4 linked regions of the Diceros bicornis minor genome follow. The protein of the gene in region 2 interacts with the protein of the main gene of each other region in a biochemical or structural test. Links are inferred from orthologs where the notes say so. Each region holds a gene or a part of one and is shown on either strand. Other genes may lie near its edges. The genes, in order: ADRB1, MAGI1, CYSLTR2 and FCHSD2.

Region 1 (7,955 bases), on a different chromosome or scaffold from region 2:
AAACTGTGGCTGCAAAACCAGTACATGACCTCAGCACCAGCACGGGTGCAGGCTGTTCTTGGCTGGTTAGCACTGAGTGACTGTTTTAGCAGCAGGATTGCTTTATGTGAAAAGTTGTATATCTTTCTTCAGAAACAGCCACTTGAGCTCTGATTAACAAACCCGCCACCAATTATCAGCCTCGAGGCTAATTTTGCTAACTTACTGATTTGATACACTTCTTGGGGCTTTACTTGGAAACTCCCCCCAGATTTCCTTTGGCCTACCTTCCAGCAGTTGTCCAGTTAGGCTGCTCGCTTTTATTTTTATCTCATTTTCTAGTCAAGTCAACTCAAGGATGGAAATGTCTTCACCAAGCTCCTGGCTCACAAATATAGGTGGGCTGGTGGCCTATTAATCACTGCTGTGCAGACCTTTAATTTAATTTAGATCTTGAAACTAGATTCAAGTCATCAGCTATTCTCCCAGGGCAGAAATGCCTGGATATATAGCATCATAAATGAAGGCTAAGGAAAAAGGTCCTTCATCTTGAATATTTATGAAGATTATGCAGTGCTTGTCACTGATGTGGACTTACATGGCCCCTTTGGAAAACCTCTTACCTATGCCCCACCTTATTCATTACTGAATAGGTATGATATAAATTTATTTATCTCATGAGCCTATCTTGTATTTGTAAAGTATTTTGAAACGTTTATATGAAAATATTGACTATGCTATACGAATAAGAATTATTACTGTAAATTATAAGCATGAGGGAAGACTGTAACTCCAAGAACACTCAATTATTTCTCATACTAGTAAATATGAGAATATTTTAATCAATTAACCACTAAATATTTATGAATCAAAGCTTAATGTTAATTAATATTAAGTAAATATTAGTAAACATAGGAGATATAAAAATGTATTGGGTAGTCCTCTCAGTAAGTTTACAATCCAAATGAGGAGAAAAACATATAAAAATTAAATAACAATATGAGAGATGCCAAAAGACAATATATTAATTGCCACCTGAAATGCCATTAGCAGAGTAACTACTATAGGTAGAAGAAGGAGAGGGCATTTCCAGAAGCAGTGGGCACTGATGACTGTAAAACAGAAAAGGTATCAGCCAGATTTTGAAGGCTGAATCAATTGAGACAGAGACGGAGAGGGGATTCTTGGTGGAAGGAACTCAGTGAGAAAGAGTATAGATGCAAAAAAAAAAAAAAAAAGGAACAAGAGTATAGATCCAAAGAAGGAAAAAGAATACAGAACTGCAAGACAGGGTGATATGGAGAGTTCTAGTACGAGATAGGGCTGGAAAGGCTATTTGGAACTGGACTGTGGAAGGCTTTGAATGCCAAGGTGAGGCATTAAGGTTTCTGAACAGAAAAGCATCTTGGTCAAAGCAGTGTCTTAGAAATACTAACTTGGCTATGGTATGCCAGATTCAACGGAGTGAGGAGCACCAGGGGCCAGGAGATCAGAGGGCCCATGGCAAGTTGAGGTGTGATGGCAGTGGGAGGGGAAAGTAGAGGAGGGTCAGGAATCACCTCTTGAGGTGCTCAACAGCATTTGTTCTTGGTGCCCTCTGCTGCTTTCTAAACTATCGTCACATCCGTGGGTTCCGAAGAACAGTTTTGAGTGGGGAATCGTGAAATGGAGGAGTCATTCATTTTGCACTTGCAACATGTCATACCTGTATAAGTGGATATGTTTCGCCTTTTCTTCTTAATCTTGTATCCTTATCTAAGGACAAAAAAATGTTAGCTCAAAAATGTCAAAAAAAAAAAAAAGGTGCCATAAAATATACGAATTACAGGAGATCCGAGAACATTTTATTTTAAAAGAAAGTTAACTCTCGTTAAATAGGGACTATTCCAAAGATTTCCAACAGTACGACTGAAGGAAAGCCCCAAGAATCCCTGGGATCCCTTCACGCCTACAGCCCTATGTTAGAACTTTTATTAAAATAACCACCTAGGTTTGAATATTTATGATTTAATGTGTTTATTATCCAGATATCAGAGAAATTTGATGTATTTCTGAATGAGACGGAGAGTTTGGGGACAATTCAAATCTCATGCCAGAACACATGGTGCATTCATACACATGCATACAGATACAAATACACGTATGTATACAAATACATACATATTTATACATACAGTAAAGGTACTGGCATCCAGGCCTCTGCATGGAACCTCTACAAACAAGTTCTGGCCTTATCGTTCACAGAAATGCAAGCCCTTTGCCCTTCAGGGGCACTTAACGGATGGCACAGATGATTCCAGAACACCACTTGAGAGAAAGATGGCGCCGGATAGAAAGCCACCTCCCCACATTCCCCACACGTCACCCCACACAGCCCAGCACTCAGAATCCCTTTCCCGGGCAGCATCAGACTCAGCTCTTTCCAATCCCTTGGCTATTTTGAGACTGCCCCTTGAGAGAGCGAACAGAAAGGAGAGGAAGGGGAGACAGGTTTGCAGTGACTCTGGTAACTAAGGCTCACACTGAACTCAGGGTGCAGTCCCCCTTCCTCCGCTCTTTCTAGTCCCTCTCCTGTCCTTGCTCCACCTCCCCAAGTTGGCGGAACTAGGTTAACAAGTCCTGGGGCACGGGTGAATAAACAACTAAATCACCCACTCCTACTCCCTTGTAACACTTTGATTATCAAGTTTGGGCCTAAAGCAAATTTACATGTTTGCATTTCAGTAAGAGAAGGTGGTTAAAATGCTTGACTTTATAAAATGAATAGGCATTGCTTTTAGCTCTTGGGTAGCTACGGAAGTCAGTCTCTCTGCAAAGTAAGAAAGACACTAGAAAGATGTGTGAGCATTATATAACATTTTCATGCACCCTTACATGGGTAATTAGAAGCTGTTTACTTCTCATGGATTCAATTAAAGGCTTTGTATTTTCCACCAATTTGTAAAGGTACATGCACCCATGTGTTCATTGCAGCGTTATTCACAATAGCCAAGACTTGGAAGCAACCTAAGTGCCCATCAAGGGACGAATGGATAAAGAAGCTGTGGTATATATACACAATGGAATACTACTCAGCCATAAGAAACGATGAAATCCAGCCATTTGTGACATCATGGATGGACATTGAGGGTATAATGCAAAGTGAAATAAGTCAGAGGGAGAAGGTCAAATACCGCATGATTTCCTTCATTAAGTAGTAGATAATAACAACAATAAACAAACACATAGGGACAGAGATTGGATTGGTGGTTACCAGAGGGGAAGGGGGGAGGGAGGAGGGTGAAAGGGATAATTCGGTACATGTGTGTGGTGATGGGTTGTAATTAGTATTTGGTGGTGAACATGATGTAATCTATGCAGAAATAGAAGTACAATGATGTACACCTGAAATTTTTACAATGTTATAAACCAATGTTACTGCAATAAACAAAAAATTAAAAAATAAATTAATTAATTACTTAAAAAAAAAAAAAGGCTTTGTATTTTCAAGTCCAGCTGAGAACCTTACCGAGGTGGAATTAGAGGAGGCGCTTTCAGTCCTGCTGCCGCCTCGGGTGTTCCTAGTGGCTATCCCGTGGTCAGTTTGCACATATAATCCACCAACAACTAGGCTAATGACTCACTAATTTCAAACCAATTCATTTGCCAACTCAAAAACGACTGATGCAACTTTAAATGCTATGGGATTTTAATCCTCTTTAGTATTTACATATTTTCTTCTCTCATCTCTCCAAAACTAAGCCTAAAGCTTCGAGAATCTAGGAACTTGGGCAAAGGGGAAAACAATCAAGCAGATCAAGAAATCTGAAATCTCAGTTCATTACATCAACCAAAATTAACAGTGCCTTCCTGTTTGTATTGACCTAGCTCAAATTATAAAATCAGGTGAGGAATAAACACAAAAGATAGGTGTTATCACTGAATGTGAAAAGTCCGAAATGTAATTAAACGTGTTCTTTCTTCGCGGCGGTGTCATTTACTCTGCGTTAACATTTGTGTTTCCTTAAGTCTCTGTCTTTATATTATCCACACACACTGTTGCATCATACTCACACATTCATTAGCTGGGACTGGGGAGTGTGTGTTTTTCCAACTGATCCTCAGCGTTAGCTGTCAGAGGCACAAACCTTTGCTTCCTTTACGCATCTACCGCGCCGGAACAACAGAAGCTCCTTGCAAGAACAGTGCTCAGAGAGCTTTCCTGACAGATGCGCGGTTTGCTCTAGCAAGGCGCTCTGCTGGAAAGTTTCCTCTACCCACTAACACCCGCCTCCGATCAGCTCGATCCCCGGAGCTGGCAGGACGCAGCCTGGCTGGGTCCCCTCTTGACAGAGGAAGGGTTTTACACACACTCTGCTAGGCTACCCCATCCGAGAATCAATCTGGCAGCCAAATTCCTCCAACCCCGGCGGACAGACTGTCCAAGGCACTCTGGCCCTTCGAGAACACCGAGGTCCCCTCTCCGCTAAAGGGACCACGCGCCTTGCTCCGCAGGGAATCTGCGCCCTGGGGATAGAGGGGATGCCTGGGGAGCGGGAGCGCAGGAGGGAGCTAAACGCCAGAGGCAGAAGGGGCGCAGGAGGGAGCGGAGTGCAGGAGAGAGCGGAGTGCAGGAGAGAGTGGGGGCCGAAGGAGGGGGCGGGGACGCGAGTGGGAGCCGGGCGCAGTCGCGGGCCAAGGAGAACAGGGCGCTGGAACTAGCGGGCTCAGGAAGGGGCGCGCGCTCAGGAACCGTGGGCGCCGGGGAGGCGCTAGCTCGCCGACCGGTCCCGGACTCCCCAAGCCGCTGAACTGCCGGTGGGAGGGTGGTGCGGGGAGTTGGTGGGGAACTAGATAGGGGCGTGCCTTTTGCCGGGATTGGCTGCACGAGCCTGACGCGAGGCCCCGGGGGTTGGCTTGGGGGAGTGCGAGCTGGGTGGAGTGGGTGCTGGGTGCCGGGTCTGCGGGCTCAGCGCGCTCAGAAACATGCTGAGGTCCCGGCAGCTGTTCCAGCAGCAGCGGCGGCGGCGGCGGCGGCGACAGCGCTCGGCTCTGGCGGGGAAGGCGCCCGGCGCCCATGCCTCCGGCCCCGCGCCGCGGCTGCCCTGACCTGGCCGCGACCTCCCTCGGCGCGCCCCGCCGCCCGGGCCTCTGGGGTGTTCCCCAACCACGGCCCAGCCCCGCCACACCCCCCGCCCCCGGCCTCCGCAGTTCGGCATGGGCGCGGGGGCGCTCGCCCTGGGCGCCTCCGAGCCCTGCAACCTGTCGTCGGCCGCGCCGCTCCCCGACGGCGCGGCCACGGCGGCGCGGCTGCTGGTGCCCGCGTCGCCGCCCGCCTCGTTGTTGACCCCGACCAGCGAGGGCCCCGCGCCGCTGTCGCAGCAGTGGACGGCGGGCATGGGCTTGCTGATGGCTCTCATCGTGCTGCTGATCGTGGCGGGCAACGTGCTGGTGATCGTGGCCATCGCCAAGACGCCGCGGCTGCAGACGCTCACCAACCTCTTCATCATGTCCCTGGCCAGCGCTGATCTGGTCATGGGGCTGCTGGTGGTACCGTTTGGGGCCACCATCGTGGTGTGGGGCCGCTGGGAGTACGGCTCCTTCTTCTGCGAGCTCTGGACCTCAGTGGACGTGCTGTGCGTGACGGCCAGCATCGAGACCCTGTGTGTCATCGCTCTGGACCGCTACCTCGCCATCACGTCGCCCTTCCGCTACCAGAGCCTGTTGACCCGCGCACGGGCGCGGGCCCTCGTGTGCACCGTGTGGGCCATCTCGGCCCTGGTGTCCTTCCTGCCCATCCTCATGCAGTGGTGGCGGGCAGAGAACGACGAGGCGCGCCGCTGCTACAACGACCCGAAGTGCTGCGATTTCGTCACCAGCCGGGCCTACGCCATCGCCTCGTCCGTGGTCTCCTTCTACGTGCCTCTCTGCATCATGGCCTTCGTGTACCTGCGGGTGTTCCGCGAGGCCCAGAAGCAGGTGAAGAAGATCGACAGCTGCGAGCGCCGCTTCCTTAGCGGCCCCGCGCGGCCGCCCTCGCCCGCGCCCTCGCCGGGGCCCCAGCGCCCCGCCGCCCAGCTGGCCAACGGGCGCGCCAGCAAGCGGCGGCCCTCGCGCCTCGTGGCCCTGCGCGAGCAGAAGGCGCTCAAGACGCTGGGCATCATCATGGGCGTGTTCACGCTCTGCTGGCTGCCCTTCTTCCTAGCCAACGTGGTGAAGGCCTTCCACCGCGACCTGGTGTCCGACCGCCTGTTCGTCTTCTTCAACTGGCTGGGCTACGCCAACTCGGCCTTCAACCCCATCATCTACTGCCGCAGCCCCGACTTCCGCAGGGCCTTCCAGCGCCTGCTCTGCTGCGCGCGCCGGGCCGCCTGCGGGAGCCACGCGGCCGCCGGCGACCGGGCGCGCGCCTCGGGCTGCCTGGCTGTGGCCGGGCCGCCGCCGTCGCCCGGGGCGGACGACGAGGACGACGACGACGACATCGGGGCCGCGCCGCCCACGCGCCTGCTGGAGCCCTGGGCCGGCTGCAACGGCGGGGCGGCGGCGGACAGCGACTCGAGCCTGGACGAGCCGAGCCGCCCGGGCTGCGCCTCGGAATCCAAGGTGTAGGGCCCGGCGTCCCTCCCCACCTCCCCAGCCGGGACGCAGGCTCTGCGCCCCGGGAGGAAGAAAGCCCGGGCGCCCCTGAATGGCTTCCCAGGGGAGAGAGATCTGTGTTTACTCAAGACCGAAAGCAGGTGAACTCGAAGCCCACAAACCTCGTCTGAATCATCCAAGACAAACAGAAGAGCCACGGACCGTTGCACAAAAAGGAAAGTTTGGGAGGGGTGGGAGAGTAGCTTGCTTATCTTTCTTGGGTTCTTTTTTCTGCTTGTGGTTCGGTCATCTTTTGTGTGTGCGTGTGATGCATCTTTAGATTTTTTTTTTTTTTTCCAGGTGGTTTTTGACACTTTCTGCGAGGACCGGGTAGGGGGGAGAAGCATCAGGGCATAAAAGTCTGTCAACCTGGCTTCCATCCCATTCTCGGAACAGGAGCAGGCAGCCGGAGAGAGAGGGGGCGATGACCATTGGTCAGGACGTGTTTCCTTTTGCTTTCCAGAAAAATTTCATTTTAATTCCTGAGTCATGATTTCTCCTGTTCTTAAAATAAAGGGAAAGGATGGATGCAAAATCACGTTTCAAGAAATTTTAAGCTATTCTTGGAACAAGCCTCACCTTGCTTTCCTTTTGTAGGACAAGCCTGCTGTCCCCACGCGCCTCGGAGGTCAGGCCAAGGGGTGTCTACCTCACACTGTGCACATTGCACAGCACGATAGAAAGACTTGTTTATATTAAACAGCTTATTTATGTATCAATATTAGTTGGAAGGACCAGGCGCCGAGCCTCTGTGACATGTGACTCTGTCCATTGAAGACAGGACAGAAAAAGGAAAAAAAAAAGTAGAAACAGTTCAGATTACTGCACATGTGGGTAAAAACAAAAAACATAAAAAAAGGAGTGGTTCAAAATGCCATTTTTGCACAGTGTTAGGAATTGCAAAGTCCACAGAAGATGTTACTTGCACAAAAAGAAATTAAATATTTTTTACGGGAGTGGGAGGGGTGGGTGCAGATCTTGAAAACTAAAATAAAATTCAAACTCTACTTCTGTTGTCTATTATGTTATTGAGCTAATGATTTATTGGGAAAATAGCTTTTTATACTCTTTTATCATGGTACTGTAACTGTATCCATATTATAAATATAATTATCTTAAGGATTTTTTTTATTATTTTTTTATGTCCAAGTGCCCACATGAATCTGCTGGTAAAATTTCGCACTTGTGTGTAAATTCTATTTCCTCTGTGTTTTACCAAGTATTTATACTCTGGTGCAACTAACTACTGTGTGAGGAATTGGTCCATGTGCAATAAATACCAATGAAGCACGATCAAGATTATGTACCGTGTGTCTGTAAGGGGTCAGTGACAATGGAAGACTGTTTCGTTCAAAGTATAG
Region 2 (7,340 bases):
TGGAAAGCTTCAGGAAGAAATGTATTTGGGAGAAAGAGAAGAAATGCACATTTTATATTTGTGGCTTTTGTTTTTTTCTTCCCTTTAGTGGAACGAGCTATAGGAAAATAAGATCTTAATTTGTGCTGAGTTTATCATGTTATGGTTTACTTCTCATCTGAACCTACTGTGTTTATTAAGAGTGCATTGTTGAAATGCTTACGCAATAACAGTACAAGGACGTTTGGCACGTCACCTGTACCACAGCCCACAGATCTCCAAACACTTTAGAAATGTTTGCAAATTAATCCTCTTTACATTCCAGTAAATCATTCGATCGTCAGAGCCCACAGATGCGGAACAGGAGATTGGATTCCAGAGTGGAACACTGTATTCCTTCAGATGCAAGGGGGGAGACAGGAGGGTGCTGAATTAGTGTGCATACACTGTGTGGCAGATTCAGAAGCCAAAAACACGCTGTTACCCAAATATGCTAAATGGCAGACCGCCACATCCTACACCCACATAGCACAATGGTTCTGAGCATGGGCTTTGGGTCGTGATTCTGGGTTCACATCCAAGCGTTATCACTTCCAAGCTCTTGAGCAAGTTTCTTTACTGCCCTAGCTTCACTTTCCTCAATTATAAAATCAAGATCATTCATGTAAAATCAAGGTCATATGTACTGCACACGGCTGTTGTGATCATTAATTAAAATAATGCACATAACTACCCTGGCACGCATGATAAGCCTCAAAGTTAGGTATTTTATGGCATTATTTTCCTCATTGGAATGTATTGCCAAAGTCATAGCATAAGTGAGAGAAGCCACAACACTAGGATCCCACTTTACATCTATTCAAGAAAAATCTACTTCAAGACCAGGTAAATATGAGCTCTTTCAGGGAAACAATCTATCAATACCTGGGTTCCAGCCATCAAATCTGAGTGGGCTTTGTGTCAAAGGTCACATATTATACAATTTAACATTACACTTCATCCATGCATGCACGTATTCATTTAACAAGTATGTATGGTGCACACTCCACGCAAGGCATGGGTTTGGGTGCTGAGGATTCAAAAGTTGCATGGGACAGATATGATTTCTGCCCTGAAGTTGCTTCCAGTCTGGGACACAGGAACTGGACCAGGTGAAACAGTAGACAGAAAGGGTGAGGGCAAGAGTGTCTGGAAATTGGCAGTCTTAGCTGCTTTGGAGGTTGCAATTATTTCTTTTATGTTCTTGGATTATAGTATGTCTCTCTATACTGCTCTCCATCCTGCCCTCTGTACCCTTAGGTATCCCTTCTTTTCTTGGGCTTATTGCACTCTAAAATCTGAAGTGTGCTACATTCCAAGTTCTGTCCTCTTCTAGGGACACCTAGAATCCTGGAGAGGGAAGATGGTGCTGCTGCAGTGGGAGGAATCACAAAACACTTGGTCTCACCCATCCACTGGACTCCTCCAGGTGGGAGTGCGAGTTGAGCAGCGAGGTAGGGAACCACTGATTCTTGGCAGGTGGGGGAATTCTTGACAAGCAATCAGACTACTAGAATATAGAGTGGGGAAACGCTCAAGATTAAGCCTACTAGTGACTTGTAGGGAATCTGGGACTCTCCTCTAAGGTGGCATGCAAAAATGCGCACTTTTGTGGGAAGATCACTCAACAAATACTTGAGCATTAACTAGGTACCAGACACTGTTCTAGGAACTGGGAATACATCAGTAAACCAAACTGCCAAATTTCCCTGCCCTCATGGAGCTTACGTTCTACAGGAAGATGTGGACCACAAGCTTATTCTCCATCTCCAAAAGAGTATGTGATACAAAAAATGCTCAACAATCAGGATGCTAGACCTGTGGTACCAGCACCACTTAAGGGGAACTTTAAAGGTACAGATGATAGAGCCTATCTCTGAGATTCTGATTGGCTGGGTCTGTGTTTGGGCTCTGGAATAAACATTTTGAAGCTCCCACTCATTTTGATCCAGTCAAGTTTGAGACAAACTGATTGCTTCTGAGAAAAGAGGCTGGAGATGAAGTTTCCCTCACCAAGAAGAGCCAAGGAAAATTGGCTACTTCCTTCTTTCACAAATACTACAAGGACATCCCAAGAGAGAAGCATCAACATTCTTCACTTATTTTTATTAGCTTAGACTAGCACCCTACAGTGCTTTAAAAATATTTAAATGTACGCCTACATATTTTAATCTTTAGAAAGGTGGGGATGAATTATAATTATCATCATCTAACTTGAAACTCCAAATGATTTCCTAATTCTCTTTCTAAATACTACTGCTAATAATAATGTAAGTTATATGCCACTTTACAAGGATTCATTTTACAAGCTGGGCACTTTACAAGTGTTGTCGCATGCAATACTCCCAAGAACCTTGTGAGGTATTGTTATACTCACAAAACAGGAGAGTAATGGAGGCTCTGAGGGGTCACAGAGCTTGCTCAAGGTCACACAGAGAGTGGACCAATGGGAACCCAAACCGCAAACCCCAGCTCTCACCCCCCACTGCTGCGGCATCCCATCGCTTCTGAATCCCTTCCACGTACCTCCCTTATTTAGCACTTGGAATCTCTCCTGTGACCAAAGATGAACAAACAAGTTATAAATCACTAAGAAAGAGAAATTGCTCGGGAGACTCTACCGCCCAGGCCGATTTGGGGAGTATCTGGGGTGGGCAGCCTTCCTGGTGCAGGCTCTTTTTTAGGTCCGCAGCCCCCAAGTTCGTTCTGCAACCTCGCCGGGACAGATGCTGGCTCTACCCCCGCCCCAGGCCGGCGCCAGAGGTGAAGGCTCTCTCTACACCCACCCCCGGGCTGCGAATTCCGAGAGGTGGCTGCTGCGCCCACGCCCCACCGAGTGCAGATCCCAGACCCGGGGGTGAGCCTTATCTCCCGGCCTCGGCGGGTCCGAAGGCTTCCTGGCTCAGCCAGGAACTTGAGCCCGGGACAGATGACTGGCTCCAGAAGTCTTTGCTGGAAGGGCAGTTAAAAAGCTAGACCCCCTTTTGGGTGGAAGACCCGATCCCCTTCTAGTCTTTTGGCTTCTTTCCCTCGCCTATCGTTTTCCGTGGGTCCTAAAAAGTTCGCCCCAAAGTTTAAGGGTGCGGGTATGTGTGTGTGGGAGTGTGTGACGCTAACAGGGATCCCAGTTAGGGGGTCCAGGGGGCCCCCACCGCCCCCATCCCCCAGGGTCGTAGAGACACTGGCTGACGCCGCTCCAGGACCGGAACCCGCGGACGCAGAGCAGGCGGGGAGCAGACGCGCGCCTCCGGATCAGGCTCAGGGGTATCAGAGGGAAATGTGGCGGGCGGCGGCGGACAAGCCGGGCTGGGTGACCGACAGCGTGGCCAGCCACTGGCCGAGGGCGGTTAGGAGGCTTAGGCCGGCGTGAGCGCGTGCGTGTGTGCGTGAGTGTGAGCGCGAGGGTGAGTGTGCGAGCCTCCCCAACCCCCACCTGTTTGAAATGGTTTTAAAATGCCAAAGCCAGATTGCCCATATATCAAAAGTTGCAAACAGTTGGAGTAAAACACGTGCGCGTCCCCCTAGCCCCAAAGGGATTTCTTGAGTCTAGGACACTGAAAGATAAGCAGCAGGAGGAATAAAAGAGGTGTAAGAAAAGCAGTAAGTTGCCGTCTTCTGAGGGTCGGTTTTAGGACCCAATGGGAAGCACATTGGAATCTCTTCCACTGGGAAGGCGGGGCGGGGCGGGCCGGCCGGCAGGCGGCCGCGGGGCGCATGCGCGCGCGTCTCCTCTTGCCGGCCGCTGCGCTCGGCGGCGCGGAATAGAATGAACTGTAACAAAACAAGCCGAGCCTTTGTATCTGCTTAAAGGGGCCGCAGGCGCTTCCCTCCTGTTCCCCTCCACCCCCGCTCCGCAACCGCGTCTCCAGGGCTCCCAGCAACTGGCTGGAAGGGCTTCCCTCACCCTCAGGAACAGCCCGCCAACGAGGAAAGGCGAGCCAGGCGGGAGGCGAACAGGCGACACCGCGTTTCTAAGAGGCAAGAAAGAAAGGAAGGAAGGAAAAAAAATAACCCGAGCGGCGCAGAGTGGACTCTGATCGGGAGAGCACGGTCGGGCGCCGGAACGTGGACCTAGAGGCGCCGGAATGCAGACAAAGCTCGCGGGCGCTTGTGCAGGGCTCGCGGGGAAGCCCAGAAAGTTTGTTTTATGATGGCTTGAGTGCGCGAGTGTGTGCAGGGGAGCGGGGCTGCCAAGTTTCTCTCTCCCGTTGCGTTACTTGAGGGGAGATGCCTCTCCCATGAACCAGCGGAGGCTTGGGGGCTTGTGCTGTGGGGGGCACCTGTCTCTCATTATTTTTTGGGGGGGGAAGGAGGGGTGTAACTCATCATGTCGAAAGTGATCCAGAAGAAGAACCACTGGACTAGCAAGGTTCACGAATGCACCGTGAAGCGGGGACCCCAGGGCGAGCTGGGGGTGACGGTGCTGGGGGGCGCGGAGAACGGGGAGTTTCCGTATGTCGGAGCGGTGGCGGCGGCCGAAGTGGCGGGGCTCCCCGGCGGCGGCGAGGGCCCGAGACTGGGCGAGGGGGAGCTGCTTCTGGAGGTGCAGGGGATCCGGGTGTCCGGCTTGCCCCGCTATGACGTGCTGGGAGTCATCGACAGCTGCAAGGAGGCCGTCACCTTCAAAGCCGTCAGACAAGGTAGGACGGGACGCGTGTCTGGGAGGCGTCCCCAGAAAAGGGGAGCGGTCTTCGGAGTGCGCTCCCCCCACCATCTCGATTTCGCGCTTTCCTCCTCCGAGCGGGGCGAAGGGGGGAAGTTGAGGCCGTGCGCCCTGTCGTGGTGAAATACGCAGAGTTGTTGGGAGGTTGTGGGTTGTTTGCCCACCTGCGTTGGGAAGAGGGGGTTGGGTTTGCGCAGGGAAGCGGGAGATGTTTCCCAGCCCTGGTTTGCCAACCTGTTATCTCAGCCACCAAGTGCAGCGCAGCTTCGCCTGCGCCTGGAGAGTGGGGGAACTGAGGCAGGGGCAGAGGTGGACGCTTTCTGGGCTCCTTGAGGGAGTGATGCAGCCAGGGGAAACTGCTGCGTGCTTTTGCCACTTGTCTGTTTCCAGACCTGGACAATGGGTATGAACGAGGAGAGGGTCTTGAGTTATTGAACCTCCATCAGAAAATCGGCTTCACCCTGCACCCCTCCAGGTGGGTTGGGGCCTGACTGCCTGGCGGTTCCTAAGCCCGCGGCCTGAAGATCCTGCATTCACCTTACAGCCAGATGACGCATGTGTCTCCACCGTGTGGCCCAGCCCCGGGCGTGGGGGGCGGTGAGAGGGGGTATTTCTTAGCGCAAATCAAGCCCAAGTTTGTGCTGCCACCACCATCACCACCACCATCATTGATGATGATAATGGTAGCTGCTATTCACTGTTAGCTTCCTGCGTGCCAGGCTCTGTGTCAAATGCTTTGCTTGCACTCCCTTGTTCTGATTCACAGTTCTGAGAGTGAGTTGTTCTTATAAACCCCATATTACAGATAAGGAAACTGGGACTGGCGTTAGTTAAGTTGCTTGCCCAAGGTCACACAGATACCAAAAGTGAGGGTTTGAGCCCTTGCTGCAGAGCCTTAAGCACTGAGGAGGTGGAGGTAGGGGGATGACCCTGGGGGATTGGAGGGGCTGACTCGTGAGGAGGGAGTGGAAGCTAATTTCTCTCTCTGAAGCTTGTAGAGGAGTGATGACCTCTATGGTGGCTGCTGGTGGTGGAGAGTCCCTTATATCTCAGTTTGGTGCAGGCAAGTGGCTGTTTCTATGTCAGTCCAACAGAGAAGGATTCGATTCCATTAAAGGGATCACTTGTAGGACCAAGCGTTATGATGCATCTTCGCCCGCATGAAAGCACCAGAGGAGGTGGCCAAGTTGAAAGCACCAGAGGAGGTGGCCAAGTTGAGCGTGGTGAAAAGTTCCCATGTGTGCCTGCAGGCCTGGAAGGGCAGTAGCAGCTAGAGGAATGTGTCAAAGGACAGGAGGGCTGGGCTGGGCTGGGCTGAGCTGAGCTGAGCTGAGCTGGTCTGGTCCTCCTGGAAACAGGCCTGTTCCAGATGCAGCGGAGGAGGGGGCAGGGAGAATTGGGCCTTTTAGTAGGTTTGGGAGCTGAGGAGCTGACAGTTATGGAAAACTCTTTCCATTTATGTCTTCATCTTCCACTTGGACACCTCCTCCAAGAAGCCCTCCAGCATCCTGCCACAATGAACACGCCTTCCTCCTCTGGGCTCCCCTAGTGTGTACCTTGTAGTTTTTTACTTGCTCTGAACTGTGAGTTAGGTCCCTTCCCTCATTTCCATCCAAGGTGGTAGGCTCATTGAAGGGAGAGGCTGTGCCTCATTCACTGCACATCTCCCCAGGCTTTGCTTGAGGTCCAACACCTTGACTCACCTGAGAATGTGTCCTCATCTGTAAACTGCCTCTTCCGTGGATAATACATAAGCTAATAAGTGGAAAGTGCAGAACAGAGCCTGGCACATGGTAAATGCTCAATAAAGATGAGCTATTATTGTTATGTTTAAACTGAATTTGAGCAGTTATTTATTTCTAAGTGTAGCTTTATTGTCAGGAACCTGCATTATGAATTTAATGCCAGTACCTGGATTATTAGGACTTGATAGAACTGTAGAGAAAATACTGTGTCAAAGCATTTGATGGGAGCAGCTACGGTTCCCAGTTCAGGGGCATTTTGGAGAAAGGGCTGGAGGAAGGACAGCAGGGGTACCTGCTCATCTAGTGGGGAGTCTACTGGTGTCTAATGGGTCCTGTATGGGGACTTGTTTTCAGTGGGCATGAAGCTGAATGTGGCTGATCCTCCTCTTTCCACCAGTTATCAAAGATCAGGGAGGCGTTGTCCCAGGGCTGCCTCATCATGGAACTTAGGAAGGTTGGTCACATGATCAGGTGTGTTTGGAATTGGACACCTCTGGGTTAGAGGGAAACTGTGCTGTCTCCAAGTGTAACCTCCCTTCACCCAGAACTATTCTCTGTGCTTCACAGGAGTGTTCATAGCAGGGGTGTGTGTGTGTGTGTGTGTGTGTGTGTAAATCTACTTGTTCTCCTTGTAATAGGGTAGAATAAAGATGTGGATGGGGACACTTGAATGGCCTGGAATCCACTACAGTGTGAAAGCTACTGTTTCATGTAATAATTAACCTAAAATTGTTGGCTCTTCTGACGTCTTTATTAAAGAAAGATGGCACTAGAAAGCATGTCACCAGTCGTCTGTTCCCTCTTTCATATCGAGAATGTGATTTAAAGTATACGACAGAATTGATCTTCCTGTGTCTTCATTAGTGTCTTAATTTTAATCATATTAGCTAGGCTCATACTTGGTACATGGTAGA
Region 3 (7,781 bases), on a different chromosome or scaffold from region 2:
ACACGAGATACTAAAAATACTCAAGGTGATCCTGACACATAGCAATGAGTATGTTGCAAAGATATATCGTCTTTCTTCCAAAATGAGTGTTGCTTAGATGATGAGGGTACGCCGCATGATCCCAGATGGATAGGGAGGCAGGATGGTATAATGAATGAGAACATGTGCTTTTGAGTTAGAACAGACCCAAGTTTAAGTCTCAGCTCTGCCTCTTGGTCACTCTTATTACTTCACCTTTCTGAGCTTCAAAACACTTATCTGCATAGGGAGGACTAGAGTGAGTATTGATGAAGAAAATGGATGGGAAGTGATTAACTTGGTGCCCTGACACTTGGTAAGTTTTCAGTTGATGCTAGCTAACGATAACAATAAGATTTGAGACAACAATGAACAAAACTCATGGGGAATTAAATGGGAGGATTCTGTGTGGCCAAGTAAAAGGAGTTGGGACAATTTCATCTGAAAAGAGCCAACCAGAAAGACAAGAACAATTCTATTTAATTTACTTTACATTTTTACTACACCAGTAGTGAATGTTTATGGTAAAAAATAACAAGGTAATATAAGCTGAAATAAACTTAAATTACAAGATTTACCACCAACCAGACATATCTGAATTTTTGTGCATTTGCTTCCTTTCATGTTTCTTCAAATATTTTTAAACAAAAATGAGTGTCTATAATAATGCTGTTTTGTACCTTGCTTTTTTCTTATCACTGTATCATGATCACCTTTCTGTGCCAATTAATAAACATCATTGTCATTTATTTATTTATTTATTTTTGTGAGGAAGATCAGCCCTGTGCTAACATCCGATGCCAATCCCTCTCTTTTTTGCTAAGGAACATCGACCCTGGGCTAACATTCGTGCCCATCTTCCTCTACTTTATATGGGACACTGCCACAGCATGGCTTGACAAGCGGTGCGTTGGTGCAGCCCGGGGATCCAGACCTACGAACCCTCAGGCCACCGAAGCGGAGCGTGTGTGCACTTAACCGCTGTGCCACCAGGCGGGCCCCAACATCAACGTCATTTAAATGGCTAAAAGAGTATTCAGTTACATAGACATAACAAAATTTGTTTCAATAAATTTTTTACAATAATTATCATCCAAGTTGTAAGGAAGGGGACATGTGCCCTGGGCTCAACCAGGGCCAATTCTGGTTCCACTTTAGGAAAGATCCTATGTTCCCTGGGCCTCACCTTTGCCAGCTGTAAAATAAGAATTACACCCTCCAGCATGCAGGGCCATTATGTGGGTCAAATGAACTACTGTATGTAAACGAGTTTTGTAAATAGTGAAGTACTATGTGAACAGTTAGGTTCATCAAGGAAGGTGCTAAACAGATATTCTCCACCACTGAGTCAAAATAAGGAGAAATTTCGTTAACATCCTCTTGATCAAGTTAGGTTGATTTAAAAGAAGTACATCCCTGCTGTAGGCTATGCAGCAGCAGAGGCTTTGACTTGGTTTAGCTGCCTTTGGTCTATTCTCAATTCCTAATTGGAAAAACCAGAGCATAGCTCTGGTATAAACTCTGTCCACTCTCCTTCTCGGGACATGGGGTCCAGAAAAGTAAGTGCCATGTCTACGCTCCTGGATAGCCAGGATAATCCACTTGCTGCCTCCAAATCCAATCCCATCAGTCTTTGCTCTGCCTTTTAATATTATTAAAATTCATACCTATTAATAACATTTAATAGCAGCTATTAAATGCTCACCTTGTGTTTGATCCTTGAAGAGTTTGCAAATGAAAGGAAGTCTGGCTACCTTGGCAGGCTACTAACAGATGCTAGGCTTAATTTTGATACATTTAGAACATTCTGGACCCTCAACCTCTCTAACTTCTAACCACCAGAAAATGAATCCATCTCTTTAAAATATTAGTAAATTGAAACTCTCAAGTAGATTCTCATCTCAAGAGTTTATGTGGTTGAGATGAATGATAGAAATTTCTAGAAGTCTTACATTTCCCACAAATTACTCTTGCATTATTTATATAGCATTGAAAGGTAGACTTGAGTGGCTTGCCTGAAAGTGTACCTCCCTTCCCTTAAGATGTATTACTCTCAGGTATGTGTCAGAGACAGAAAATATTTCAAATAACCTAGATTAGACGTTATTATACTGGCCACCCATTTGAACCACCTGGTAGATTTTTGAAATTAAAAAAAAAAAAAAAACTACAGATGACTGACTCATCACCAAAAGTTAAGTTTCAATTATTCTAGGGGTAATTTTCTAATCTCCTCAGAATCAGTTGATTCTAAGTGAATCTATAGCCAGAGTTGAGTACCGCCAATTGAGGTCCCAAAGGGGTAATAAGCAGATTACAAGCACACACTCTTTCCCTCTCATTGTGCCTCTGAGTAAAACCACTGAAATCTGCATTCTCAAATTCAACCTCCTCTCCCCAAAGAACAAGACCCTGAATGGAAAAAATATAAGTTACACAATCAAATGACCCAGTCTATGAAAAATAGGAAAGATGCTATATGGCCCAAAATTGGAGAATGCTTGGCTAAAGGATAGTAAATCTCCTCAATGCAATATCATGCAGCAATTTTAAGTTATGATTATAAAGAATTTACAGCAACGTGGAAAAAATTTATGCTTTAACGGAAAAAATAAATTATCCATACAGTATGAAGACAACTATGAAAATCAAACTAAAATCGTATGCAGACACACAAAAAAGAATGGAAAGAAATACCCCTAAAATATCAATAGAGGCTAGCTCAGTGAAGGTTTTTGCTTCCTTCTACTTTTTTGTATTTTCCCAAGATTTTTTAAGCTATTGTGTATTTAGTAGAAAAAAATTTATAGTAGAACAAAATAAATCTGCTTTTCAAAAACTGTTCTTCTGACTATGAAGGAATAAGCAAAGGCTTATTCATCAATGAATTCACAAAGCAAAGATAAAAATGCTCACCTGAAGTTTTCTTTCTTTCAGCTGCCTTGGCTTCTGTCTCCTCTCCCTCTCCTGTCCTCCTCCTGCAAGTAATTCAGCTTGTTTCTTTAAAAGAAAAGTGAAACAGCAAATTATATATTATGAACAGCGTCAGCCAATAGCAAGAGAGTAAGGAACTTTGGTCAGCAGGTCAGCTGTGCTTTATAGAACTTGGTGTGGGTGTTGGTGCTGGCTTCCTTCTCAAGAAGGGGGGAAGATTTCCAGTTAGGGGCTACATCTGAGAGGAAGAAACCTGCATTAGCCCTGCCGCTCTAATGACTGTTTTTATTACCGTCTTTCACAACAGATCAAGGGGCTGTGATGAGCTAGAGTCAGGGGTTTTAAGCGGCTTTTAGTTCTCCTAAATGGTTTCTGTTTCCATGACAACAGTCACATCAACACCGCTTTACACGGACAACACTTTAGAGCTGTTTAGAGCACTTCCCGTTACCCACTAGCCTTTTCCAGGGACTTGGTACTCAGGGGGACCCTTACCCAATCTAGTGAAAATGCTCTGTCGAAGATTCCCAACAACCTCCTCATTGCTCAAGTAAAAGGTCCTTTCTCAGTCCTCATCTTCTTTCCTCAACTTGTTGCACGGTTAACCAATGCCACTTTCTTGAAACTTTCTCCCTGTTTCTCTGAGTCTCCTGGTTCTTTTTCTACCTCCCTTTCTGATACCTCTTCTTCCACCCCTTTTCTACATGTGAGCTTGCCCCAAAAGTTTGTTTTTTGAGCAGTTCCCACCGTATTCTCTTGCTTTTATCTACATTATCCACATCCACGACCATATTTAATATAGCCAAAACAGAGCTTTTCTCTTCCTCTCCCAAGCATACACTCCCCCATTTATTCCATCTCATCAAATGGCACCACAATGATTCAACCAGTTAATCTGTCCATAAACCTAGAAGTCATCTTTAACTTCTCTATTTCTCCCACAACCAACATCCAAGCCAACAATTCCATTTGTTCTACCTACAAAATATGTCCAAAATCCAATCATTTCTCACCTTCCTTATCCCCATTAAAATCCCCATCATTTCTTAGATAGAATGATGTAGTAACATCAGGCAAGAAATAAAAGTCATCCAAATTGGAAAGAAAGAAGTAAAATTATGTCTGTTCACAGATGATATAATCTTTTATGTAGAAAATTCTAAAGATTACACACACAAAAAAAAACCTGTTAGAACTAATAAACAAATTTGGCAAAGTGACAAGATACAAAATCAACACACAAAAATCGGTTGTATTTCTATACACTAAGAATGATCAATCAAAAAAGGAAATTAAGAAAACAATTCCATTTACAATAGCATCAAAAAGAATAAAATACTTAGGAATTAATTAACTAAGGAATTGAAAGACTTGTACACTGAGAATAAAACATGGCTGAAAGAAATTTAAAAAGACGTAAAAAAATGGAAAGATAGCCCATGTTCATGAATTGGAAGACTTAATATTGTTAAGATGTCGAAACTACCCAAATGGATCTATAGATTCAACACAATTCTTCTCAAAATCCCAATGATGTTTTCTTCAGGACTAGAAAAATCTATCCTAAAATTCATGTGGGATGTAAAGAGACCCCCAAATAGCCAAATCAATCTTGAAAAAGAAGAACAAAGTTGGAGGACTGAGACTTCCTGATTTCAAAAATTACTACAAAACTACAGTAATCAAAAAAGTGTAGTCTTGGCATAAAGACAGATAGATAGCCTAATGGTATAGAATAGAAAGTCCAGAAATAAGCCCTCACATATATGGCCAAATGATTTTTGACAAGGGTGCCAAGGTCATTTATGAGAGAGGACAGTCTTTTCAACAAATGGTGCTGGGAAAACTGGATATCCACATGCAAAGGAATAAAGTTGGACCCTTACCTAACATCATATACAAAAATTATCTCAAAATAGATCAAAGACCTAAATATAAGAGCTAAAACTATAAAACTTTTAGAAGAAAACAGAGGAAAGGCTTCATGGATTTGTCAATGATTTCTTAAATATGACACCAAAGGCACAGGCTTTAAAACAAAAATAGACAAACTGGACTTCATCAAAATTAAAAACTTTTGTGTATTCAAGGACACTATCAACAGAGGAAAAGGGCAATCCACAGAATGGAAGAAAATATTTGCAAATCACATAGCTGATAAGGGATTAACATCCAGAATATATATAGAACTCCTACAACTCAACAACGACAAAAACAAACAACCCAATTAAAAAATGGGCATAGGATTTGAACAGATTTTTCTCCAAAAAAGATACACAAATGGCTAATAAGCACATGAAAAGATGCTCAACATCAAAAATTATTAGAGAAATACAAATCAAAACCACAGTGAGATATCACTTCATACCCATTAAAATGGCTATTACAAAAACAAAAACAAAAAACAAGAGTTGGCAAAGATGTGGAGAAATTGGACCTTTGTGTACAGCTGATCAGAATGTAAAATGGTGCAGCCATTATGGAAAATAGTATGGTGGTTTTTCGAAAATTAATAACAGAGTTGTCCTGGGGCTGGCCTGGTGGCGTGGTGGTTAAGTTTGCGTGCTCTGCTTCAGTGGCCCAGGGCTTGCAGGTTGGGATCCCAGGTGTGGACCTATGCATCACTCATCAAGCAATGCTGTGGCAGCATCCCATATACAAAAACGGAGGGAGATGGGCACAGATATTAGCTCAGAGCTAATCTTCCTCAGCAAAAAGAGGACTATTGGCAATGGATGTTGGCTCAGAGCCAGTCTTCCTCACACAAAAAATAAATAAATAAAAAAAATTTAAAAAAATAGAGTTGTCATATGATCCAGCAATTCCACTTCTGAGTATATATCCCAGAGAACTGAAAGCAGGGTCTTGAAGAGATATTTTTATACCCATGTTCATAGTAGTATTATTCACAATAGCCAAAATGTGGAAGCAACTCAAGTGTTCATTGATGGATGAATGGATAAGCAAAATGTGATATAAACATACAATATAATATTATTCATCCTTTAAAAGGAAGGAAACTCTGACATATGCTACAACATGGCTGAATCTTGAGGACATTATGCTAAGTGAAATAAACTGGTCATAAAAAGACAAATACTGTATGATTCCACTTATACGAGATATCTAAAGTAGTCAAATTCATAGAGACAGAAAGTAGAAGGGTGGTTGCCGGGGCAGAAAGGAGAGGTAAATGAGGAGTTATTGTTTAATAGGTGCAGAGGTTCAGTCTGGGAAGATGAAAAAAGTTCTGAAAATGGATAGTGGTGATGGCTGCACTACAATGTGAAGGTACTTAACGCCACTGAACAGTGCCCTTAAAAACCATTAAAATTGTAGTTTGTCTTATGTATATTTTACCACAGTTTTAAAAAACAAATAATTAAAAAAATAAATTGGAAGAAGTCTAAAAAAAAAAAAAAGAATGCTGTAGGAACATCCTACCTAATCGTCTTCCTGTCTCCACTCTTGCTGTTCTACGGTCAAGTTTGTTTTTTGTGAGGAAGATCAACCCTGAGCTAACATCTGTTGCCAATCCTCCTCTTTTTGCTGAGGGAGACTAGCTCTGAGCTAACCTCTGTGCCCATCTTCCTCTATTTTGTATGTGGGTTGCCACCACAGCATGGCTTGATGAGCCATGCGTGGGTCTGCCCCCGGGATCCAAACCTACGAGCCCCGGGCCACCAAAGTGGAGCGTGCAAACTTAACCACCATGCCCCGGGCCAGCCCCTACAATCAAGTTTTTAAGGAGTAAATCATATCATGTCTGTCCCCTGCTCGCAACTCTGCAATGACTTCCCAACTTTCTCAAAAGAAAAATCCTTATCACGGTCTACAAAGGCCAGACCTGCTCAGCCCCTGCTACGCATCTCTACAACTTCATCACTAGCCGTGAGGACTTCCCTGCTGCTCCTCCAGGCACATGTGCTGGAATGGCCCTGAACCCTCACTCCCTCACTTCACTGGGGCCTCTGCTTAAATGCCGCCACCTCAGAGATGACTTCCCCAGCCTCCCTTTCAAGAAGAGCTCCCCCACACACACTCTATCCCCTTACCCTGCTTTATTTTGCTTTATAGTGCTCATCACCATCACTCCTTCTTCTAATATTGTATATTTGTTTGTAAATTATTGGATTCCTATGCTATCTGTGCAGACTTCTCAGACTCCCTGGGGTTCTAGCTGGAACATGGCCACCTCAGAAGAGCTGTTAATGCTGCAGCTGCCCTTGTTCTCTTCCCACGCTTAGGCCTGTGGACACTCCAGCCTTCATGTCCATTTCCTCACCCTGCAAATTGCCACCTTTGGCCACCGCTAGGACATAGAGCTACACAAATCATATGTTCCAACATATCTGAAGAAGAGGCCACACAGCCCTTGGGGACACTAGGTTAGGGAATTCTCAGGTATCCCGGACACACTATAGACAGGGCAGTGGGGATGGGTGGTGGGCATACCTCTTTGCCCCACAGACTCCCGCCCCCTTGGGACAGGAAGGGCTGGAGGAGGACCAGAGAGGGGTCCTCAAAAGCATGGCCCCTAGGGCAGTGACTCCTCAAGCCCAAGTCTACTAGTGGTTCCGCCTTCGTAGTCCCACCCCAGCCTCTCTTTCAGGTCACATTTCCTCTTAGTGGTCCTCTTATTCCCAAGCCTTGCTCCAGTCAACCTGAACTATTTGTTGATCTCCAAAAATAGAAAGCACTATTTTAGGGCCTGAGAGGAGCACAAAATTGTGAGAAGTTTAGTTGTGCTGGATAGAAAATAGCAAATGCTTCCTTGAAAATAAACAAGGAAGGCTTTGTTTGCTTTGCTTGTAGTTTGTTTCCTGGAT
Region 4 (7,529 bases), on a different chromosome or scaffold from region 2:
TACAGTTAATATTTTTCATGAAACCAACATGAAGTTGTATACCGCAGGAAAAAAGAGGCAAGTGATGAGGCTTACAGACCTAATTCCAATTTGATAAATGTATTTACTAAAGGGATATAAGAATTGCAGCCACTCTGTTTCAACACGCAAATCATCTTCTATCCTTTCCAAAAATATGTTTGTTGAACTGTCAGTGTTACAGGATTGTTAAATAAAATAAGTGGCGTTTCTTTCAATAAAATGAGTCATGCTTCCCTCTATAAAGAAAGATACTGATTTTCACAATGCTGGCAAGATATCTTACCTATCAAATTCAAAGTTATCTTGATTATGAATCCAGGTAACTTTAATGATAAAAATATGATAAACACATTTCCCACTAAATATAATGTTTAAAGACAAAGTTATATTCGTCATGTTCTAAAAAACAGTGCTAGTATATAATCATCTGAGGTTGACTGGCTCACCCCCAGATATTAACCATTAACCAGAGGCAGTTTAAAAATCTGTGTGAAATCCTTAAGGTCAATAAATGTTACAATTCAGTGGAATGATTATTTAAATAAGACTTTCTACTTCCATGATTACAATTTGACTGAAAAAGGCCCTTGTTTTTTCATAATAGTGTGTGTACGTTATAGGTTCTTCCACTAAAGGAAAAAAAGTTTGTATTGTGTTAGTTCCAGTTATAATTTCTAGCTGAGTCAAAGCTCTAACAGCCTTAAAGCAGGAAATCCAAAAGGAAATTCCATCATCAGTTCCCGGAGCTTGGTAACTCGAAGATTCTTTGAAACAGAGATACAGAACTTCTCCAACTATTTACTATAACCTTACCTCATATCTTCAAGCAAATCACATTCTGCTTGATGTTTGGCTTGAAGTTTCGTCATCTGTTCAACTTGAATGTTTTTCAGTTCTTGTGTAACTTTCACCTAAAATACACCATATATTTATGAAGGCCTTACTGCAACTTTAACAACAAAAAAACTTACTTAAGGAAAATATTTAAACTTGTCAGAATATATAGCTCTTGCTCACCTCTCCCCTGAAGACCATAAATTCATTATTAGCCAACTAATTTTGTTTACTGAAGATACTTAAGGAAAAAAACTAGCCAAATAACCTGAAACAGAGGCTAAATGAAAGTACACGAGTATATAAATTACAGATTCAAGAGGTGCAAAATAAACTGCCAGTCATTCCATTTCATGCACAAGCTCAGTACATATCTAAGTCTTCTCAGAGTTGTAAAAGTCTGCCTTCTTTTTCTTCCAAAAAAGATTCAAAGACATTAACACCAGGAGAAGTGAGCAGAGTGTAGGTGGGAGAAGGGAACATAAGAATGCCTAATATCTAATGACCGAAATTTACACAATCATGAAATTATATGCATGAATCGACTACATAAATTATTCCATAATGGCTGCGAGAAAGCACACAGTCTCAGGATGATGCCCTCCACTCGCTGACAGCGCATCAAATCAGAAGCTCTTTCTCACAAAGGAGAAAGCAAAAGTGACCTTCCAGCATATGCGGTGCCTTTAAGCCACCCCAGCAAGCCGGTCCCCGTGGCGGCTCCACTTCAAACAGCTAGAAGAGCAAATGGCAAGCTGGCCAGTGCCTCGCCCGCCAGGCCCGGACCCCAGGGTTCCAGGTCATAGTGGGCCTGGAATCCACGCCGCCGGAGCCAGGCTTCCCGGAGGGGTGGGGGTACGTGGGTGAAAGAAAAAAGATTCACTTAACTGGAGAAACCCGGATTAAGAAAGAAAGGAAAGGAAACAGACACGAGTGAGTTAGACATTCAGCATATCCTTGCCCACGAGGGGAGGATAGAACAGTCTCCTCCACCCAGCGCCCAGAGTAGACACTCAGTCACCATCTGCAGGATTAAAAAGACAAGGACACAGCCTCAGCCCCTGAGAAAGCTGGGGAAGCGGGCAGTGAAACAGTTCTCGAAGGGCGCAGCGAGAAAGCTGCTGACAAGCCCAGCGCACCCTTCACTCCCACCCCAAACCCAGATCGCGGGGCACACGCCACGCACTGCCTGGTTCTCGTTGTCCAGGGGCAGCACCAACGCCCCCTCGCACCTAGCCGGAGAGGGGGGCAGGAGTAGTGGGAGAAAGGCAGGTCCGATCAATGCTTAATTTTTTGTTTTCCCCTGGGGTGAAGGGCGGTAGCTATTCCAACTTCTTTTCGGCCGCCCCGTGGGAAAAGCAGGCCAAACCTTAAGATTAGGCTTGAAACAAATTCCCTACAAATTTGCAAATGGGAGAGGATGAACAAGCAGCTGGAGGGCTCAAACCTGGTGCAGACTAAACAATCACACAAGCACAAGGCTCTGCAAAGCTGCAGGGGCTCCCCCGCCTCCCCTCGGTGCAGCCCCGAGAATGCACTTTGCAGCGAGCAGCACTGCCATGCGCGTGCACACACACACACATGCACACCCGAAACTCTTGTGAAACGTCTGGGGGTCTTCCGCGCGGTGGAGGGCACGAGCCCCGGCCGCCCCTCCGTCGGAAAGGCACCTCACCCTCGCGCCCCCCGCCTGGAGCCGGCGGCAACTCGGTGACAAGCCCGAGGCGACAGCGGTCAAGGCCCCTTGCGGAAAGGGGGGAAGGGGCGCAGCGGTCGCCCCAGCCGCGTTCCTCGTATGCATCCCCCCAAAACCCCCCAGCTACACCCTCACCTTCCTCGGCGGCGGCTGCATGATGCTGAAGGGACATCAATCCTCCCCCCGACGGCGGCGTTAGCTAGGACGAGGAGAGGGGGCGGCCCAGCGAGCGGGCGTGTGTGAAAGGAGAGCCTGGGAACGAGGACTCGCCCCGGAGGGAGCAAGGCCGGCGGGCGGCAGGAGGACCCGGGTCGGAGAGCAAGTGTGAAGAGAAGGAGGCGGAGCGCCGCGAAGGCCTGGGCTCGGGCGGCCCGGGGGTGTGTGAGGGAAGGAGGCGGAGACCGCGAGGGGGCGGGGGCCCGGGAGCTGGGGCGCAGGGTCTCCCCGCTAGCCGAGCGGCTCGCTAGGAGCAGCGACGTCGTCCGGCACCCTGCCGCCGCCGCCGGCTCCTCGCAGACGCGGCCCCCCCCACCCCCAACTCGGGGAGCCCCGCCCGCGCTGAGCCCAACGCCCCCGCCTGGCCCCCGGAGGAGGAAGCCGGCGCCGCGCTCTCGGCCTCGGGCCCTCTGCTCAGGCCGCGGGAATTTCCGGCCCCGCCGCGCGGCGCAGCGCCCCGCTCCGGCAGCCGAGGGGACAGCTCAGACCCGAGCCGGGTTCAAGGGGCCGGGCCAGGCAACGGGACGGAGCGCGGCCACGGCGCGGGGCTCCGTATCGCGGCGGGGGACTGGGGGAACTAACGGATCTGTCGGCGAATGGGAGGAGTAGAAATGCTAGCGGAGCACGAAAGTCCCCCCGTTCTCTCCGAGAGTGGCACGTTCCAAACGCCTTCTGTCCTCCCTCCCCCACACTGGGAGCCGGCCGGGGGCTTCCCGCGCGCTTTGCCGCCTGCCCGCCGCGGCGCGCGCCTCCCGTCGGGGGCGCGCACGTGGGCGGGAGAGGGCTCTGCGGCGACGCACGCGCACAAGCCGCCCCCGCCTCCCGCCGGCTTTTGCAGCTGCGGTGTTTGTGTGTGTATGCGTGTGTAGGGGGCGAGACGCTCGGAGAGAAGTTTTTACAATGGGGAGGGGGGCAGCATGCCTATGGCAGTAGGAGAGTTCCGTTTTTTGCTGCTTCTCTGTCCTGCAACACCTTTCTCCTGAGCGGATGAGCCGGCCAGATAGACAAGCACAGAGGGGGCGGACATAGATAAGTCTTTCGCAGTCGGCCGCAGGGGCCTGGGGCGGGGTCTAGTTGCCCTGCAAAGAAAAAAACGGCTCTCTGCTACAGGGCATTCAAGTCAAAGAGCACGGACTCGGCTGGAAGGCAACCGTGAGGTCGTTAAGGCCAGAGCCTCTGTTTCACAGATTGGGAGGCAAGGTCACGGAGCAGGACTAGAATCTCTGCGTCACGGAGTGTTCTATGGGTTATAAAGAAACAGGTGCAGATGATAACCATAAGGAAAAGGAGAGGAGGCAGCAGGGCAATGGAGGAAGCCCTTATCTGGGAGTCAGGACCTCTGGGTGCCAGTCCACTCTGCCTGTCCCCGACTGGCTGGGTGAGCTCGGGCTTCCTCATCTGCCCGTGAGGATGTTCGTCCAGGCAGCCTCCCCCCACCCCACGTTCCTGCTCTGACCAGACCATCTTGGGGGGCGAGGTATCAGCCTCCCTTGGAGTCCATAGAAAAATGAAAATACCTCTTCTGAAGCCACAGGGCTGTGTGGAGGGTGAACTAGATCTCCCCAAAGTTTTATCAGAAGTTGGGGTCCCAGACACCTGTTCTCAGAAGTGTAGTGAGGCAAAAGAGGAAAGTGGGTGAGGCCTGGAAAGACCCAAATAACTTGCCTAAGACCAGATGGCCAGAAATTGGGAAGGTTGAACTTGAACCAAGGTTGTTTACATTGAGTTAGCCTAGATTCTTGTACAGGAAGGTGATAGAATCAGAGGTATGCTTGAGTCAGATTAATCTAGAGCTGTGTGTGAACTGGGAGGCCAGGCTTGCTATCTCTGGTTTCCCTGAGGCCATTCAAAAGTTGGCCCTTCACCAGAGTCCACAGTTACTATCAGAGAAGGCCTGGGGCAAGGGAACAGGTGGGTAGAGGCCCAGCTCTCTGCAAGCTGTGGGCCAGCAGCTGGAGCTCAGGCTAGAGGTAGCCAGACTGGGCTCCAGTCTCAGCTCCACCACCAAGTCATTGCGAGGCCTTGAGCTGGTCAGTTCACCTCTTTCAGCCTTTATTTCCTCTCTTGTAAAATGGGAATATAATACCAGCCTCGCAGACTTGTTGTATTAAATGGAGTTTCTCCTACCACAGGGCCTGGCACATAGTCAGTGCTCAATAAATACTCACTGATTCATCATTCATTCAAAAAAATATTTGCTAAGGTCCTGCTTTGTGCCAAGCCTTGTGCCAGACAGTGGGGATACAGGAGTGAGCAAGACCAAATTAGCTGAGGGCTTCACCAAGGCTGAGTTCCAGACCAGCTGTTCCATGAATGACATTGGGCTAGTGTGGGAGGGGTGACAATGGTTGCCCAGATGCAGTGTCCTGCACATAGGAGATGCTTAACAAAGATTTGCTGAATCCTAGTCCTGGGTGCAACTAGTCTGGCCCAGAGATTATCTTCCCTCTGGAAGTGAGCCCTGGGGTATAAAGGTGCTGGGTATTGAGAGATGGGATCCAGCCTCTACCACTGATCTGCTGGGCCTTCTCTGAGCCTTGGTCCTCAAATGCAAAATAAGGTGAGTGAGTGAGCCTGGAACTTAGTAGGCTCTTCACAGATAAAGTCAGTCCCTGGGGCTTTATTTTATGGATTTAGGAGGGCATCTTCCACCTGATTTGCTATTATTCTGAAACCAGGAATGGCAGTGATTTTCTGGAATGATTTCCTTTGGAGGTGTAATAAAAAGCTAAGGGGCAACACCAGATGGGCTCACCAGCTAACTCCTTTTTCAAAAATGTGGTGTTTTAAAAATATGTTTAATATTTACTAAGTGCTTTTCCAAACCCCAAACTTTCATATTACTTTTCTGACCTAATCTTCACTGTAATCCTATTAGAGAGGATTTTCTTCATGTTTCAAATGAGGAACTAGGGGCTCAGTGAAGATAAGTGACTTGCCGTGAAGTGATAGATTTGGGACCAGAACCCAGCTCTGCCGTTTGCATCTATGAGGAATGTTCAGAGGAATTGGAAGAGTTCACCCAGGAAAAAAGCAGACTCAGGAGGATGCAATCCATATGTTCCAAATGCGACAGGGATGGGGCAAGGGATTTCTGTGGCTTATGTAAGACTGACTTAAAATGTACCCCTTCGAACCAGGCTGGGGACTTCCAGAGCTTTGCTCCTGCAGTGCAGGCAAGCACTGTGTTCCCAGTAAGATCTCTTGCGATTCTTTGGGGGAAATGCCACAGAGCTGTCCCATGACCGCAGAGAAGCATGCACTGTGGCCCTAGAGACAGAACTGGGACAGGTCTCAGCTGCATCTAAGAAAGGAGTTTTTCCAGGCAGAGCCGCCCCTAGGGAGGGTGAGCTCCCCCATCCCTGGGGCTGTGGGAGCAGGTACTGGCTTCCTTCCATCAAGGAGGCCACAGATGGGATTCTCACCCTGGGACGAAATTAATATTAAGCTACTATTTATTTTGCCTCTTCCATATTTCAGGCATTGAATTAGGCATGTTATTTACATTGTTTCTCACCCTCACAACAACCCTTCATTATACATATGACCCCATTTCACAAACTTCGAACATTGAGGCTCAGAAATGAAATGACCTGCCCAAGGTGACACAGCTAGGACACGACGAGAGCCAAGCCTGGCCCTTGGCTCACTCTGGCTCTGAAGCTGTGCTCTCCCTCCAGCATGCGTGCTGCTGTGCAGTCTCCCAGAAGGAATGTTATTCTAAGTTTAAGTCAGAGCCAGGATTGGAAGCTGGCCTGGAGCGGGTATGTGAGCGGGCATTGGAAGATGAACTATTCCAATATTCCATAGGGCTCCCAGGAGAAACCCCAGAGAGGCAAAGTTTGCAGCAGCCATTGAGTGTGGCTAGAATGTAAACAGCACCCCACCCTGGTCCAGAGTGAGCACCCAGGACAAGTTCTCTCCAGGAATAGGTGATCACCATCCCATCTGTCCATACTGTACCAAGGCACCTCCCTACCCTTCTGCAGCTCTGTTCACAGCCCACTCTATTCCCTTTCCTGCTCTGTCATTATCCCAACTCACACTGGTACAGTCTGCTCAGGAATACCTGTCAGCCCATCCAGATGCCAGCTGTTCCCTGCCCGAGCCCTGGCGAGCCTAGCTAGGGATTTTGCTGCAGACAATGCAGTCTGTGGACCCCAAGCCCATTCATCTCCCTTCTACCCTAGTCGCCTTTCCCGCTGCACCTCCACCCACCAAACACACATACCCGCTTTTGCTCCTGGCTGAGCTAATCCCCTCAACGCATCCCTCTGGTCAGCCTAGTGTTGGAATGTGCCTGTCTTCTCCACTAGTAAGCTCTCAAGACAGAGAATCACAGCCCGCTGGACTGAGGAAGATCGGTGACCACCAGAAGATGGCAGGGGCTCTCCCTAGGATACAAAGTGAGTTTGTGGCAGAACTAGACCATTCCATCTAGCATCTCTCGGCTCAGCTGTAAGCAGGTCCCTGGGGTGAGGCCCAGGCCCTGCACTCCAGGAGCTCCTGAGCTTAACACGTGGACCAAAGGTCACAGCAGTGAGTCCAGGACATGCAGGGCCTAGGAGTCAGAGGGACCCAGATTCCACCAGGTGGTAGCAGGGGTCTAAGGCCAGAGGTGAGTCCCTGAGAGGCAGACACGGGGTCAGGGAATTACCTGGTCAGCTGGTGCCCCGGCCAGGGAGTGTTACAACTTGGGGTGGGCGTGAGGGGACAGCCAGTCCCAGGGCTGTAGTAGGAGCTGGCAGTCACATGGTTGTGA

The links.
Region 1: the proteins of MAGI1 (region 2) and ADRB1 interact in a test that uses a peptide from one of them, tested with the Homo sapiens proteins (2 studies listed by IntAct). The link is inferred for Diceros bicornis minor from reciprocal best matches to the Homo sapiens genes MAGI1 and ADRB1.
Region 3: the proteins of MAGI1 (region 2) and CYSLTR2 interact in a test that uses a peptide from one of them, tested with the Homo sapiens proteins (2 studies listed by IntAct, with this or other methods). The link is inferred for Diceros bicornis minor from reciprocal best matches to the Homo sapiens genes MAGI1 and CYSLTR2.
Region 4: the proteins of MAGI1 (region 2) and FCHSD2 form a complex in vitro, tested with the Homo sapiens proteins (2 studies listed by BioGRID and IntAct, with this or other methods). The link is inferred for Diceros bicornis minor from reciprocal best matches to the Homo sapiens genes MAGI1 and FCHSD2.

What each region holds. Positions count from the first base shown.
Region 1 is NC_080745.1:77,464,145-77,472,099, forward strand, and holds ADRB1 (beta-1 adrenergic receptor), read left to right. Parts: upstream 1-4,949; 5' UTR 4,950-5,175; coding exon 5,176-6,567; 3' UTR 6,568-7,887; downstream 7,888-7,955. UniProt on the Homo sapiens protein: Beta-adrenergic receptors mediate the catecholamine-induced activation of adenylate cyclase through the action of G proteins. This receptor binds epinephrine and norepinephrine with approximately equal affinity.
Region 2 is NC_080741.1:65,066,382-65,073,721, reverse strand, and holds the start of MAGI1 (membrane-associated guanylate kinase, WW and PDZ domain-containing protein 1), read left to right. Parts: upstream 1-4,333; 5' UTR 4,334-4,345; coding exon 4,346-4,658; intron 4,659-7,340. UniProt on the Homo sapiens protein: Plays a role in coupling actin fibers to cell junctions in endothelial cells, via its interaction with AMOTL2 and CDH5. May regulate acid-induced ASIC3 currents by modulating its expression at the cell surface.
Region 3 is NC_080748.1:28,486,074-28,493,854, forward strand, and holds the start of CYSLTR2 (cysteinyl leukotriene receptor 2), read right to left. Parts: upstream 3,012-7,781; 5' UTR 2,935-3,011; intron 1-2,934. UniProt on the Homo sapiens protein: Receptor for cysteinyl leukotrienes. The response is mediated via a G-protein that activates a phosphatidylinositol-calcium second messenger system.
Region 4 is NC_080746.1:57,687,340-57,694,868, reverse strand, and holds the start of FCHSD2 (F-BAR and double SH3 domains protein 2), read right to left. Parts: upstream 3,013-7,529; 5' UTR 2,708-3,012; coding exon 2,687-2,707; intron 933-2,686; coding exon 835-932; intron 1-834. UniProt on the Homo sapiens protein: Adapter protein that plays a role in endocytosis via clathrin-coated pits. Contributes to the internalization of cell surface receptors, such as integrin ITGB1 and transferrin receptor.